Drosophila melanogaster: one gene and its partner. The protein of the gene in region 2 interacts with the protein of the main gene of each other region in a pairwise test. Each region holds a gene or a part of one and is shown on either strand. Other genes may lie near its edges. The genes, in order: sosie and Karl.

Region 1 (7,928 bases), on a different chromosome or scaffold from region 2:
CGCGCCGAGCTTTTCACTTCCACTACAGCCCCCATTTCTCTGCGCTCTTTCACCAAATCCCCGATTGCCCGATTCTCCGATTCTCCGCGAGAAATTTGAAAGTAATCAGCGAATGGGGGCCAGCGAAAGGCGTTGGCATTACAAAATATCCAGCTTGTTAACATATTGAAAACTGTGCTGCTGCATTAAATCTACACCGAACTATTTATAATCAATGCCGTGCATTTAATCGATTTGGGTTGGATAACCGATCGTTTGGACGGAGACGCAAGTGTAGTTAGAAATGGGAATTTCTATTGGGGGGGGAAGCTAATTGTCCTTGGAATTTAAAATACGAGTAGATTTCATATCCGTAGTAAGTCAGTATCACAGCTTATCTGGCCTGAAATCGATTTCATAAATATTGCAACTATGTAAATATTTCCTTATTCATAATCATAAGGGGTATGTTTATTGTCTAATACATGCCTTGCCTTAGGAGTGCGTACGTTCCAGTTCACTGGATCCAATTTTCGTCTGGCTTATCTGCATATAACTAGCAATTAAAGAAATTAAGGTAAAAGCAATCATTACCAAATATTAATTTCAGATTTTTTTCCTGATTTCAATGAGTCCGATATAATGAAAATGTAGCTTCAGTCTCACTTGATATCCGAATGAATTGAAATGTGCTTAGAAAAATACTTTTGCTTCGTGCTTCTATTGCATTTCATCATGATAAACCAGGTCAGAGGTTATAAACAAATTAATAGGCAATATACAATAGCTTTCACTAAAACACAGATTTATTCTCATATCGAGTTCACGAACTTCAAGTGCACATCCATGGCTAAGGACGTGGCCGATATCGAATACTGTTTTCTAAAATCAGTTAATCGAACTTATCAATACCTCTCCACCCGGATTAAGGTATTAAAATTACTGAACAGCCTAAAGGTTAGTTAAGCAAGTTTAGTTGTTTAGCAATCTATTGAGTAAAATTATTATATTTCAGGTGAATTTTGGATTGCACCAGCAGATCAATGGGTATAAGCCCTTCCTATACAACATCACTATTGACGGTTGCCAATTCATGAAGAACACAAAGTCCAATGTAGTCGCCAAATACTTTTACGATTTTATAAGGAATATCAGCAACTTGAATCATTCCTGTCCGTACAACGTAAGAAAGATCGTGTTCCCTATTCCAACTAATCATTCCCACGTTTTTTAGCACGACATTATAATGGAGAAACTTACCTCTGAGACTATTAATTCCCGACTACCAAAAACTCTGCCCTTTCCCACAGGAAACTACATGTTTCAGACCTATTGGATTGCCAATGAAAAGTACCGTGTGGTAACCAAGATATATTTCTGTCATTATTGATGGAAAAGTACTATTCGTTTGGGTTTTTAAAGGTTTTTATTAAATAGTATAGATAACAGCTACGAAGAAAACGGTTTTAATGGGTGAAATTCTTATCTGGACCTGCAACTTGGACATGAAAATATTATTAACTTTTATCGTCTCCCATATTTTATTATTATTATTATTATTATTATTCCATTCGATTATGGGCTGTGAGCTCGTAAAGCTATTTATATTGAATACATACAAAAATTAAAAATGTTTCACATTTGTAATTGCGATGTAAGCGATCTGAATTCACAGTGCTGCTGAAAAGTTGCCTATCACTAGATAATTTCTCTCGATTTTTAGTGATTATTCCTGGACACACACGTACACTCATATAAAATTACAATAAAATGGTGCCTAACATTTGATCTAAAGTTACTTCGGTCTGTCTAGTGTAGGGAGTACGGACTAAGTTCGATTGGGGATCTATGGAAAACGTTTATCAGATAATATAATTATGTATATTGTATATAACGCAACTTTTCGTGAGAAGCGAATAAACTTGACGGTGGTACATATGAAACTTATACAATAGAACGACTTTTAGGCTAATGGCGACGAGTATCTAACTTTCTTAATTTCATTTCCACGTATTTTCTCTTATTTTTTTCGCTTTTCAAGATTTACTTTTCGTATTTTTTTATATGTGAGGGGTTAGTGGTAGGGGTAGGATGATCTTTTGTTTCTGTTGGTTTCACTGAGGCACATTTGATGGATCACTGGGGTAGATAAACGCCAAACTACGTCTTCCGGTTCCGCTTTCGACGATCGCCTTCTAGAAATGCTTTCGCATGTGGGCGGATACCAAAAAGGGCGCCAGAAGTGAGCAGATCGAGACCAAGAAGCTGACCAGGCCCTGAAGATTAGCTGAAAGGCAAAGAAGATGGATTAGGAACCATGATACATCCTATTTTTGTGTGTACTATATTTGTAATACTATGACAATAGTTATAATAGTTATGGAATGTATTGGATGAGAAACCTCTCACCTCCACTGCAGATGTCGTGCAGGATGTCCTCCACATATCCGTTGTCGTTGTCGCAGAGACACAGCTTGGTCTTGCTGGACATGAACTTGGCCACTCCGATGGTGCGGTTGCTGTTCTCGTACTGGCACACCATTCCATCCTCGCAGTCGTTGTTGCTGTTGCACTTGTGACGCAGGCCTGCAAAATGCGCAAATATTATTAAGATATTAGCATACCGCCAGTGGAATTAGCTATACTCCATGCTTATAACTAAATTTAAACCGACTCAATACACCGGTATCATTTAGCAGCCATTTTATTATAATAACGCTATTATGCAGACCTATAATAGTCTGGAAATTCTATACTCTGGTGTATTACAATGTATCCCCGCCAGAAAGTAGATCTCCAACACGGAGAACAACTCCCAATGCCAAAAACTGGGGAAACGTGCATGCAAAAATCGCGTATAACATTTCTTCTGGGCTGTGCATGTCACAAATTGGCACTGCGGCGATTCCCATTACCATTTGCCTCTCGTTTGGGGCCTCGTTTGAGTTGCCCCATCGGAGGAGTCACGACATCCTAACATAAATCCGACATCGACATTGCGCCGCCATAAAGCGGTCCACCTCTGGCCCCGCCAAGAACTGGAGTGGAGCTGGAGGAGGGCTGGAGAACTGGGAAACTAGAGGACCCAAGACCAAAGGACCAAAGAACCAAGGGACTGTAGGGCCAACAATGGCGGGCACATGACCCAAGGATGCCGAGAAGGCAAGTGTGAATCGCGCACGGAAAACTAAATAAATAAGCAGGCAAATAGCGAAGAAAGGTGAAAGTGGGCTTTGGGGGTGGCCATTCTGGAAGGATGCTTCTTTGTTTAATTCTCATTTAGGTGGCGCCTTGGACGCATCACCTCACATGCCACTTGAGGCACTGGCTCATCACGGAGGAGGCCTCCAAGAAAGCAGCGGCCTCTTAAATAATAAATGTAATGTGCATGTCTTAGCAATTAGCTGACTTTTTGTTGGCTGTTCTATTTCGGGAAACGAGCTAAAGGATTCTGCAAAGGCGGGCGGTCAAAGGAGCGGAGATACAGAACATTATGATTAATATTTAACATCAATGATTTTTTAATTTTTTTAACATAAATAAATAGTAACTAACTGACTAGTAACTAAAGCATATCAGCCGCGAAAAATTTATTTTTAGGAATGCTGTTTAAGTGTCAGTGGTTTCTCTAGATTACAACTTGTATATTTATATCCTTGGGGAATATGGGTAAGTACTTTTCTATATAGGTGATACATTACCTTTCAGGACATCTGGACAGCTGCCAGCCGAAGGAGGCGAGTCGTCGCCGCATAGGCAACGCAGCTTGTAGTCATTGGGATCCTTGACGCAGCTGGTGCGATCTATCGCCGTGCAATCATCGTGGGCACTGCACTCTCGTCCTTTAACTGCAATTAATGATAGGAATCCAAGTTAAAAAAGGACACTTAACTAGCCAGTTTGCCTAGCTAATTGCCCACTAATTGTGTGATTATTTGGGTACCAACTTGAGCCAACACAAATCACCGCTTGTCCGCCTATCTATATCTACTCTATCCGTTTCGGTTTACCAACTCCAATCACAGGGATATTACCGCCCCCGCTCCTAATGTCAGGGATTCGTGGAGCGTGGGTTGTCATTGCACTTGAGTGACTTGTTTGATCAATTCTCGATTCGATTTGTGTTAGCAATGTTCTGTGTTCTGTGTCGTGTCGTTCAATCTGTGCTGGCTCTGTGCCATAATTATTATTCCATTTATTTATGAGCGACTACCAAGTCAATCGAATGACAAATGATTGGATCAGACAAACTGGATGGTTGGCTATTTGTTTGGCTAACGACCAGGTGTCTTAATTAGCGGTTAATCGAACTTAAGTGATGTGGGGCTTTATCGGGAAGGTCTAAGACAACGTATATATCACATTATAATGAGAGTCAAGTTAAGTGCATTAAAATAGTTAACTTCTAACTCAAAATCAGTTTTTTAAAACAGAAGTTAATGTATCTCTTTGTTTGGTATTTTTCTTAAAGAATAATCTTATATGAATATTGTTATAGTAATAGTAGTCATATTCACTTATCGGCTAATGCTGGAGTACGAGTTATAGCAAAATTACTGCACGATTACTTTTAAACTCGAACCACTTTTAATCCCTCGCCCAATCTTGACAAGAAACTCCTCTTGACCTTGCCAGCGACTTTGATGGGCCTTTTCGTTACCAACCCCGGGGGTTCTCTTACCAATTGGGACGTGCGTGGGAGGCGGCTGATTGTTGGTCTTGCCAAAAGTGGTCAGAGCCGTGGAGCTGACCCCGAAGAGGATGATGAAGATGCCGAAGAGCATGGTCAGACTGCCGCATTGTGTGAAGCGCTTCAGGGGCTGCATTTTGGAATCGGTAACTAATCGAGTTTTGAGTCGAGACCAGGACTTGAAGAAGTCGGAAAGAAGTCCTTTTTCGGGTCTTATATAAATTCCACAGGACCGCAACGGGTTGCACACGCACTTTGCGAGCTTGAAAAACGGCCCAAAGGCTTTAAATTGGTTTACTTAACGCTTTTTTCGTTTCTATGTCGGTTTCGCGGGCACAATTTTATGCAAATTTTCACACCGAAATCGTTTCCGCTCCGCCAGAAAGTCCGAAGCAAAACAAAACCGCACGAGAGGCGTCACTCCAAAAAATCTCCAATACTTTGGGGCACTCGCTATAGTCGCAACTTCCACTTGGGGTCTTCGGACGGGTAGCTCCAACCAGTCGCCTGCGCGCTCGAAATGCAAGTGAAGAATTCGCGGCGCACACGGACCTTAAGTTGCTGCGATGTCGCTGCTGGTGGCTACTTGGCGCTCGCGCACACCGGCGCCACCTTCCACCTCCCACCTGCCACCATCTGCTACCCATCTGAGTGCTCCTCGCCAGCTAGCCACCCACCGCCCCCGCAGTCCGCTCACCTGCTCAGCCAGGCATAGAACCCCTTTGCCACATTGGCGGCGAATGATAGTCGTCTTCCAGATACCCTTATATCATACTTAAGTTCCCACTCAGCAAATCTTCTTTAATACTTTGTATAATAACAATACATAATATACTTGTATTTATTTTAGTAAATTGGAAGTTGAGATACCATATAGTTATGTACTTATGTTACATGTGTAATTTTAACAGAAGTCTATACTCTACAATTGGAAGTGAAGTTCTGGTTTGTTAAAAACAACAGCTTCATATTTCATTCTTAAAAAAATAACTCATAATATATATGGTAAAATATATACAACTGAATATCAAGTTAAACAATACAGGTTTTTATGCGTTATGGGAAACGATTCTGCTGACGCACACAAAAATTGGCAGCAATGAGCTTCCCACAAAATGATAAAACATTAATTTTAGATGTAGGCAACCAAGTATACATACGTCCAACCAATTGCGGCTGAGTAGAAATGAATTCACGCATTCCGGGACATTCCATAAAATCGGATTCCAGAAGGACAGACACCCGCATGCATAATTAAGAGATCCCCCAAGTGGGCAAAGGGTATTCCACCTAACCAATGTTTCGCTGACAAGAAGCTAGATAGCATGGAATCTCCGGGCAGATTTCGAAACTTTCGCAGGCAGTATGGGATTAGTTTTGGGCCGTATGCTATATGGTATATGCTATATGGTGTATGGAAAGTGAGCTGCGACGCACTTGTAACTGTTTCGCTGCTTTTGTGTATTTCGTGAGCGAGTTTTGTTAACGAAGATGGATTTTTGTAGCTGCCTCACCTTCGTGCACCTGTTTTTATTGTAGCCGCTGGCGGTGGCGACCTCGTCCTTTTCTCCTCGTCCTCGTCTTGGGTGTGTGTGTGTGGCAGTGGGTGTGTGTGTGGGAACTATAATAATGACGAAGGCATTAGAGGCATACGACCATTGCATAGCCTACTTTTTGGGGCCCACGGAGTTGAGCAACAGCCACAACAACAATAAAGTGTAACATTAGCACGCACCAGGCGAAACAACAACAGAAACTGGTTAGTCAAAGGCAAATAGTTATTTTGGCCATTATTCTTTGCTCGCTCCCTAATTTCTCCTGCCGTTGTTTATGATTATTTTTTCCCCCTTTTTTTACTTTTGGGCGCTGCATGGCCCTAATTACATTTGCTAAATTGCCCAGATGAGAGTGGCTTGCTTGTTGCTTTCAACTTTTAACTTTTTTAACTTTCAGCTGCAGAATGCAGCTAAGCTGTCCAAAAAAGAAAGGTGACTGGCCACGCCCCTTTAGCCCAATTTGGCAAGGCACCATTTAGGCGGATATCGAACAGGCAGAAACGGATGCCCAACTTTTGGCCATGTCTGCTTCAATCGTCTAAATATACGAAGCTCCACTTTTCAAACTGAGCCAATAATTTACACCCACCCATTCGAAGAGGAACACTTTGAGGTCAGTTGGGACATGAAGAACTCGCCCAATTTGCCAAACACAAATTCCTTTGCACTTCATGTACTTTCGACCCTCTTCCGACTCCGATTGTGGAAAATGTCAGGCTATATGGGTCCTGGTGCTCCTTATCTGCCTTCTCGATCGCCTTATAAACGATTGCTTTAATCGCTGCGACAGCATAAACAATTTTCTCCAACTAAATGCGAATTTATATCGCACACGCACAGCGAACGGAAAGGAAGTCCAGAAAATATATTCACGAAAATCGGTGGATATAACTAAATGGGACACGAATCTGGTCGGGTTCAAGGACCGTGGAAAGCATTAAGCCAATTTTGGAAAATATATTTCAGATATCCTAATATCTCTGTTTGCTTAACTTATATTAGAAAATTTTTATGATTTTCTTCAAAAATTGTAAAAGGTAAAAAAATTATTTTGAGCGATATTGAAGAGATTTATAAGACACGTGGGTCATTTTAAAGAATTGGATGTACTTAAAATTATTTAAATAAGTTAAAAGGCACTAATTATATTGGATTTCGTAATTGTTTTTCTAGATTTGCCGACTTGACAATGATTTATTCCATAGTACTTTCTCCATTTACGCAAATCCCGCCGCACCGCGTCATTCGGAATGGAAAATATTTATATTTACATGTAAAAATAAGTTCCTTTAATTATTATTCAGCCAGTCCAGTCCATTCAATTCGCCATGCGGCAGAGTCTGAAATTTATTTCGGATATTTATTTCTTGACATTATTGATAAATGTTGCCGGGCACAGCAGAGAAACGGAAAACAAGCAGGAAAATTATATGGAAAACTCACGAAATCTTTTCGCCAAATCAGAAACTGCAGCGAATCGTAGGCGCCGCCAGTGGGTTTTCCCCCTCCCCTCTCCAAGGAAAATGCGAAAGACCACCGTAATTAAAGAACTAATTCGCTTTCAACAATTTGGGCGTCATGTTTTTGCTCTTAACTGATGATTAATTAGTGCGACTGTAGAATTTCTACCAGCGATATATAATTTTCTCACGAAATCTCATCGAGCTGTACACTCATGCCCAGAGGTCATCATATTACTGCTG
Region 2 (8,783 bases):
CCTCGAGCTCGTCCTCTGTGGATGGTAAGGCGCATTAGCTATATACATTACAATTTTGGATATGGGTAACAGCCCATTCTAAACTTACCCGGTTCCAAGTCCAAGATCATGTCCAACGCTTGCCGATAGTTGGGTACCTGCTCATTTAAACCAGTTAAATTGAATTTATCCTGTATGTAGTCCTCATCCACCTGGAATCAAAAGCGTATGCAATTAGGATCTGTACTGGAATATACTGTCATATATCCACTATATCGTGTGTTATCTGGACATGTGTGTACAGTTGGGCTCGGTATTGCCCCACCTTGCGGCACACACGCACACACACACACACACACGCGCGCGCAAAGGCAGAGATTGAGGGCTGCACTTTGCAATTGTTGCACTTATAGCGCGCGCTTAGATAACGCGATTACAGCGAAGAACGCGGGTAATTCGTCGTTGATGCTGATATGATGATGATATCTCACCTCGCAGAAGAACTCATTGCCACGAAGTCCACAGAACCAGGTGACCCAGGAGACTTCCTCGGAGCTGCTCATTTTGCTGCAAAGATAAGCGAATGGAGTTGCTAATTCATATTTTCATCGTTTTTTTTTTGCTGACAAATTATCCTGCACACGCATACCACACATGCACACCGCACTCTCACACACACAGGCAATCATGGCACACACACTGGGACAAACGCTCACGCACTATTACATACATTAAGGGGATTATTTTGCGTAATTTGGGCTGGCGTGCGAAATTTATTGTTAAAATATCTTGGAACGGAATCTTGGCACTTTCTTGTCTACCCCACCCCCCCTGCTTTCTTCACGTTTCCTTTTGGTTCCGCTTCTTGTTGCTCGCACAAACCACACTCTCTTTTTCCGCTTTTTTCTTCTTTCCTCCTCTTTTTTTTTGGTTGGATTGGCCTTTTGGGGTTTTTGTTTTCGGTTTTCCGTTTAATTCGCGTTGCTTGTACAATGTTACTAGTTTTCGGTGATCGCACCGTTGAAATTCGTGTGGTCGGGGGGCATAAAAATAAATTTTTATACTCGTATTGTGACAATTGACAAGCGCTCATACAAAATGTGCCGAGCAGCAAGAAGAAGCACACACTGTTGGAAATTGAGAAAAAAAGAGACACATATACAGGGGCCACCACACGCACACAAGCAAACACGCACACCGCGAAGCGCACATAGGGACGTGCACACACGCACGCCTTTACACCGATGAGCGCAATCCAACGCACACCAACTTGCTATTCTGTATTTTTCCCGCTGCGGCTATCTTCCAGTGGCCAGCACTCACCCAAATTGTTAATAATTACTCAAATTGATCGACTTTTGTACTGCAGCTGAACCGGTAAAGGCAAATATTGTAGCGAAGACGATGATATCAGGTATGCAATCTCGACTATCGATTACCGCTGTCCTGCGCTGTCCGCAGGCGATTGCCAATCGATGTGGCGCCGTGTCATCGCTAAGCGATGTATCGGCTAATCGGGATTGCGCGTTTCGCAACACTGGTTCGGAAAAGCAATTAACCAAACAAAACGCGGAATTATTTGTTAAATAAGCAAATCAAGCCAAATATTAAAATATTGTTTATTACCAGCATTTAGTTGGCTGTTTTGCCATTTGTCAAATAATTTACCGATTGCAGCTAGCAATATTTTCTTACAACTACTTTAAGGTATTATTTCGTTTAGTTGTATGGTAACACTATGTTGAAAGTTTGAAATGTTTGAAAGTGCTTATTTAAATTTGTATTATTGACAAAATAAATCGGGTTTTCGTATAATATTTTCTCTTAGTTGATTGATTAGACTAATAATACAAGAACGAGCGATAAACCCACTGCATGCATTTTAAGCGCAATCGCTCGAAAGATGTCAGAGTGAGAGCGAAGCGAGTTGCGAGCTTAAGCGAAAAAGCGAGAGCAAGGCCTTATCGCTTCAACTCGCTCAGGGCGTACGATTGTTTTGTTATATTCTGCGCTATATTACCGTTTATTTTCAAAACACACGTTATTTTGTTTTGTCTTGTTCCATTCTGTAAATAACCTTTTATATAAATTATTGAATTCGCCTTTTTCATTTCTATTTCAGTTAAGAGGGTGGACGACAGTTTTAACAGAAAGTTAATAGTTGCGCTTGATGCAAAAAATTCCTCGTCCGAATCCATCACGTTCACATTAATAACTAAAAGAGAGCAATGTAGCTCGTTTCTCGCTTAGCTCTTACTCTGCCATCGACTCGCTTTGCTCACAGCTTCTCGCTTTGCTCATAGCTTCTCGCTTCGCTACTAGCGCGCACTCTGCCGTCAGGCTTATTGATAATTTTGAAGATTTCCTTGGCTCTCTTGCGTCCATTCACAACATAGGCCAGTGGATCGTCGCGACTAGATTCCATTAGATTGTCGCACGATTCCTGCCCGATGTTAAACATAAAGGATGTGTCGATATCCTGCGGCAACTTGCCGCGCAGAAAGCTGATCTCGTTGTCGGCCAACGATGTTTTCCGCGACAAAAGCAGGGCGGACAGGTAACGTGGTTGCTTCTTCTTCTCGGCGCAGTGCATCACCAGGCCCCAGGTGTCGTAGTCCGTGTCCAGAACGTATGTGTTGTAGATGCCCTCATCTGCAAGGAGGTACATATAGAAACGAAAATACTGCTTAAAACATATATTAAACCCGGGCAGATCGAATTACTCTTTGGCATAGTAATTACCAAACTACTTCAAACGTATCACAACTACATTTTGAATAGATTTTCGTTTTGAATTTGATTGTAGAAACATTTCCATCACTCACATATGTCCTCCGTGTGCTGCCAATGTCCTGGCTCTTGGAATTTGGGTATCATCCAGGTGATGTTGCCCACGAGCTTCTCGCGCAGCGGATCCTCCGCAAATATGTAGCTAAAGTTCATCGTTATCTAATTTAAATTGAGGTATTGAGGTATAATTTGTAATAGGGATAAAGGTCCTTGCTGCCACTCACATGCTGATCCTCTTTGGAAAAGGAAAAGTGACTGCGCATGCACGCGTACTCCGGAAGTTCCTCTGTGGATGCGTAATACTGAACCACGTGCCAACAGCCCATCATGCGCTCCAAATCGAAGTTCTTAATGGCTCCCACCTAAACGGAAAATTAGTTCCATAATAAGTTAGATATGTAAGTAATTTAGAGGAGGTCTTTATAATGTTGTATAATATAATATATAATGTAATCTATAATGATAAAGATCTATTATACTTTATGATAGGAGTTTTTTTCTATTACCTATATATATATACATTAGACAGCGAGGGTTTCTGGTTAAGATTCACATACATATCTTATATTTATAATAACTCTTGAGACAGTCGTGCTTTTTAATGGGTATTTAAAAACCCTGGTGTACGATCATTATTATGATATTTGAGAGGTCAGGGCTGCTAATAAATATGCCCAATAAACGTTAAGACCACAAATGCATCTTGGCTATAATCCCAATTCAACTTAGCTAGCTGCATGTGTGTATTTACATTGTTTGCCCTGGCGACCACAAAACAAAACAAACTTCGGTTGGTGAAAGAGTCGAAGAAGCGACAGACGACGAAAGCCGTTAGCGCTGTCACCGTGATTGACTACTGACAGTTCATTGAGAAGTCAGTATGGCCGTCCCTCTCTCTGCACCGCTGTTGCCGTCTCTTTCGCTGTTTTGCAAGTCGCGACGCGCAGACACGAGATGCAGACGCAAGACAGCCTCTGATTGATGCGCCTCAAAAGCGCATTGCACCGCATGTGCCCCCCCCCCCCCCCTTATCCCCTTTTCACTGCACCCCCTCTTTCGGCACTGTCTTCCCGCCATCTCTTTCTTCGGGTCTCTACGTGCGTGTCTTTTGTCTATTATTGCTGATTGTTTTCTGACTTTTGGCTCGCTTTTCGGTGTTTGTATTCGTAGCAGTATTTGTCGAACTGCACCTGCATCAAAGTGCAATTGTCGCCGCCAACGGAGATGCAGACGATGAAGAGAGGGGAGTGAGAAGAAAGGGGACGGGCAGAGAAGAGAAGAGAAGACAAGACAAGACTCAGACGACGTCTGAGCCACTTAGAAAGTGTGATTGATTTTGGCATCGGTGTGAGCCCATTTCTTCTGCCTGGCTCTTTCTGCGCTCGCTTTATGTCCCATTCATTCTATTCGCTAGAGATGGAACGTTCCCGTCAATCGTTGGATGATTTCCAGTGGGGCAGGACACAGGAAAGTCTATTATAAGACCCATAGTACTATTATAACCGAATATTATACTATCTTTGAGGTTAGAATTCATAGCTATTGCCACAGAGTCGTTTGATTTAAGGAAGTTCGACTGTAGGCGCTATTTTTTTTTTTGTACCAGCTAACTAGATGGTGCCATCACTAGCGACTTGAAATGTGTCACAGTGCGCCCGGCATATTGATGAGCCTTTGAGTTTGACTCGCTTTTGGGCTTGGATTTGAGATGCTTTCCTCCTCCGGCGGCTGTGCTTAGAATGAAATCGAATCGAAGCGTTGCCAAAGAAAGTGATCCAGTTAGAAGAGGCCGGGGACGTGACCAGGGACGGGAACCTGTACATCCAAAACTGCACCTGCGTCCGACTATCTAATGGATTGCCTCGACTGTCTGCCGTTCTATTCGCTTAGCCAAATTCATCGCCCGAAGGTGACCTTAATATCTGGTTGGTTGGTTTGAAACAAGTGTTGTTATTTTCTCTAAGTCATAATTTGAATTTCATAAGGGGCTTTTTACTCAGCAAGATTACATCTCTATCAAGAGTCTGAGTCATAGTATGAACCACATATATGTATATTTATGCTCTACAATGTTTAGTTGACCTTGATAGGAGGGGCTAGTGGGTGATGTACTTACCTTGGGACACCGATTGCTGGGACCTGAGCGCCTCCTGGTTTGATAGGCATTGCTATTGTGTCGTGTCCACAGGTTGGCACCCACTGGTGCAAGCAAAACATCCAGGATAATTATGAGGACGGCGGTCAGTAGGAGCGATCCATTCCTGCCCATGATCCTCTCCATTAATCCGGATGACGGTGAGCTACAATTATTTATTGTCGTTGATCTTCCGGCGGGTTCAGACGCTCGATCTCCGTTGCGCTGTAGCTGGAACTGTTTTCGATGGCACTGCGCCATCTCCGCGAGCAACATGCGACATTAGCAGTCAGCAATAAGTACACTCTAAAAAATCTTGGCACACAGTGGTGCAATAACTTTAGTTTTGGAAGTCTTGGAGATCTCAGTAAGTGCCATCACACTATTTAAGTGTCTTAATCTAGGGTTCTAAAGTATTCCTTGATCTTAAAATTATTTTTACTATTAAATATTGAGAGTTGTTTCTTCGAGTGCACAACAAATCGGAACGCAACGGATTCGGATGTTTTTGCGGATAAGGCGCCTTCTTATTGCCACAGAATTCTATGGGAATAGCTGTGGCTGGGTCATTATCGGGTAGCTGGAAATAAATGACATTACTGAGCACTTGGCTCGATTTTAGCCATATATAGGAGTGGATTTGAGCGGGAAAAAGTAGCAGTTGTCGTGACATTTAATTACAATATAACCAATTAAATTATTTAAATAAAAAGTATACAATTTCAGAACCAAGATATGTTTTCCTACACCTTTCCATTACTTCCTGTAATCGCTAGCACCGAAAGATTAGCGGTTTTCCAAGGCGATGCCATCTCTTTTCAGCAGTTTAATATTGGAACTTAATCAGCCGCCGTTCCATTTCCCCTTGCTCTCAAGAGCGCGGGTGAGTTAGTCGCTCTTATCAATTATAACGTCCGTTTGCCAGTAAAGTCCAGTCAACGCCTTCCAATGCGCACATACCTATGTATGTAAGCATATACATACACATATTTGCAGGCTTGTATGGAAATATATAGAGTCTGGGGAACGGGAGTAGGTATTTTTGGCTGCATCTTGTTTTCACTTGTCGCATGGATGCAGATTTCCAGATTTCCAGGCAACTTTCTCGCCGCGGAGAGCGAAATTTTCGGGGTGGCGAAGTGGATGCGGAAAAGAGCGGGTGAGAGCGGGGAGCGTTGAGCGGTGGTGAGTGGAAACAGGAAACATTTTAATAGCCTGCAAATTTATTCTTTACGATCGCCAGAACGAACAGCGCGATCCGCTGGACACTTTCTCTTTATTGCGAAACGAGTTGCGCGGCATTTTCACGACCGGACTGGAATGAAACTGGACATCCTCGAAGGTTGCTACTTTTGCCGCCGCCGCCGCCGCTTCTTCTTCCGCCTGCGTCTGCAGTTTAGCTTCTTTTTAGCTTCGTCTTTTTTTTTTTGCTTTTTTCTCCCATTTCTTTTGGAGCCGTCTGGTTTTTTGTTGGCCAGCCCAAAAAAGCGGCGCAACTTTCGTCGCCGCATTGCGTTGCGATGCGTTAGCGGCCAGTTCCGGCTTCTACGGCAGCTCCTTCCTTGCCCCTTCCATCGCCTTTCTCCCACCATTCGCCACCCCCCTCTTCTCAGCACCACCTTCCGCCCCTTCGCAGACGCACCGAAGCGAAAAGCGGCTCTTAATGCGGCAGCGAGACGAAATGAAACGAACTAAAGCAACAAGTGCGCAATCGAAGAAATGTCGCCTGCTCCTTTCGCTCTCTAGCTCTCTCTATTTTCCACTCTCTCTGCACGCTTTTTCTCTCTCTCAAAATGGAGCTTGTGCGTGTGTGTGTGTGCCGGGATGAATGAAAACCAAGATCAAGGGCGGATGAAGGACAGGATCAGCGGGGAGGAAGATAGCGAAACCGAATAAGTAGGCCAACATTCCGAAAGTCCTTAACCCATATGTGGGCGAACATTTTGAAGCCTATTCAACTAAATAGGATATCATGAATATATTTAAATATACTTTCCAATTCGAATAATTTATTTTAAGCTATAATAAGCTACGTTAAAATAGTTAAAGGTTTATTAAAATGCTATAGAACTATTTGGGTATTCTTAAGTTCAGCTAAAGATATTTATTTTGAAATACCAAATCAGAAAGTGAGCTGGCTTAAACATTGTGAATTTAAATAAACCCTTCGTTTAATGTAATATTTTAAGCAATAGCACTTAAGTAATCGCCAGTTTCTCGCAGTGTTCTCATCCGGCTACCCATTGCGTTTTCTCAATGAACGACTCTGGCTGAGATCTTTTGGCCACGCCAGGCGATCATCCATCCATCCAAATGAAATGGCCACATAAATGGGGGTCTGTAGCCGGAATCGGAATGCCTCACTCACTGGGAGTGCCACACCCGAATCCGACTTCGAATTCGAGCTGCCATCCAAAAACTGAATGGGGCAACAGGTGGGGCAACTGAAAACTGAAATCTTTGCAGCCGGAATCGGAATCCACAGGTGAGCTTGAGCTGGAGCTTGAGCTACAGGTGACAGTCGACGGAATGTCTGGTGCGGTGCGGTGCGGTGTGGAATGTCAAACGTTTATTTGCCGGTAATTAAATTTGAAAATGATTTAAATTTCACCAGCGAATATTCCAAATTGGTCTTAACACTTTCTTTCGCAGCATCGCTGCGTTTGGTGTCTCTTTTTTTTTTTTGTTTTTTGTTGCCAATTGCCCACCCGCAACCCATCTAGCTGAGCCCCCTTCCCCCTCTTTTCGATGCTCCACCCATGGGCATATCCATGGGAGCAATCCGGCTGATTGGAGATTTGTTTTCTATTTGCAATTGATCGATGCTCGCCTGCCAAGCAATTCGCAACAACAGCCGCATAAAATGGCAAAAATAAAACGCAACAACAAATTGGTGGAATAAAAAAAAAAAAACAGAAAAGTTAGCGCAGAAATTGAGCTGGACGTTGTTGGATGGTGTCCACGTCCGGTGGGTTCGTTAATGGCATACCGAACTTGGGATCAGACCGATGGATTATGGTAGCAACTTTCAGCTGCCAAGACAATCGACCTTCTTGATTAGCGATAGGCAAATTTCTCGTTTTATTGCAAATATATATATGTACATATATATATTTTACATGGCCATTACTTTGAAGTTGAAGATTTCTACTAGTTGTGGTCACTTTACGTCTTAAAAGTAGCTTGGCAAGCTCATAAAGTTCACAAATATGGAAAACAAAAAAAAAAAAACAAAAATAAGATGGTTTAGATACACTAATTAATCTTATCTTAAACTTAAAACTTAACATTAATATATCCTACTAATTTCATTTTCATTTGTTTTGAATATGATATTTAAGCATATTTCCTCAATATTCCACTAAAATCTTGCAATTAGTTACAACTTGAACCCATTCGCGCAACTAAGCCAAGTTATTAAGATCTTGGGCCTTTGCAAGTAAATCAACTTTTACCCACTCGCGTCACTCGGCGCATGATTCTGGAGTGCAGTGGTGTCCATCAGCTGCTCCTCCACCAGATCTCGAGTGCGTGCGGCTGGGAAAGCGTGTGGGATTACTTGGAGTGCCACACTTGCTGCCACATGATACACCGTAGATCATGGCTAGTTTTCGCTGGCCGCTGGCTCAATTATGCAGAGACACAAGCTCGTAAATGCTGGAAAAACCGCGGTGAGGGGAATTTGGGTGGGGATTGGGGTCTTGGGGTCTGTGCGTGCCCTTCCCATGGCCACCATTCATCATCCGTCGTCCAAGATCGGCCGAAAAAGAAAGAAAAAAAAAAAACATAGCCCATCAAGTGGGTTCCGTTTTGTTTGCGCATGCGCGTCGCATTCAGCATCGATATTTCACGATCGTCGGTCTGCGGCTCAGACACTCGC

Evidence for each region.
Region 1: the proteins of Karl (region 2) and sosie interact in a two-hybrid assay, tested with the Drosophila melanogaster proteins (one large-scale study listed by BioGRID).

What each region holds. Positions count from the first base shown.
Region 1 is NT_033777.3:24,833,950-24,841,877, reverse strand, and holds sosie (sosie), read right to left. Parts: upstream 5,198-7,928; 5' UTR 4,806-5,197; coding exon 4,661-4,805; intron 3,828-4,660; coding exon 3,681-3,827; intron 2,566-3,680; coding exon 2,389-2,565; intron 2,267-2,388; coding exon 2,175-2,266; 3' UTR 1,390-2,174; downstream 1-1,389. Other genes in the region: CG33658 (uncharacterized protein), read left to right, coding at 715-936, 995-1,162, 1,214-1,369.
Region 2 is NC_004354.4:11,785,206-11,793,988, reverse strand, and holds Karl (karl), read right to left. Parts: upstream 6,609-8,783; 5' UTR 5,653-6,608; intron 5,502-5,652; exon of another isoform or gene 5,219-5,501; 5' UTR 5,051-5,218; coding exon 4,886-5,050; intron 3,194-4,885; exon of another isoform or gene 3,132-3,193; coding exon 2,994-3,131; exon of another isoform or gene 2,968-2,993; intron 2,929-2,967; coding exon 2,805-2,928; exon of another isoform or gene 2,786-2,804; intron 2,642-2,785; exon of another isoform or gene 2,632-2,641; coding exon 2,258-2,631; 3' UTR 1,736-2,257; downstream 1-1,735. Other genes in the region: CkIIbeta (casein kinase II beta subunit), read right to left, coding at 1-15, 89-191, 471-542.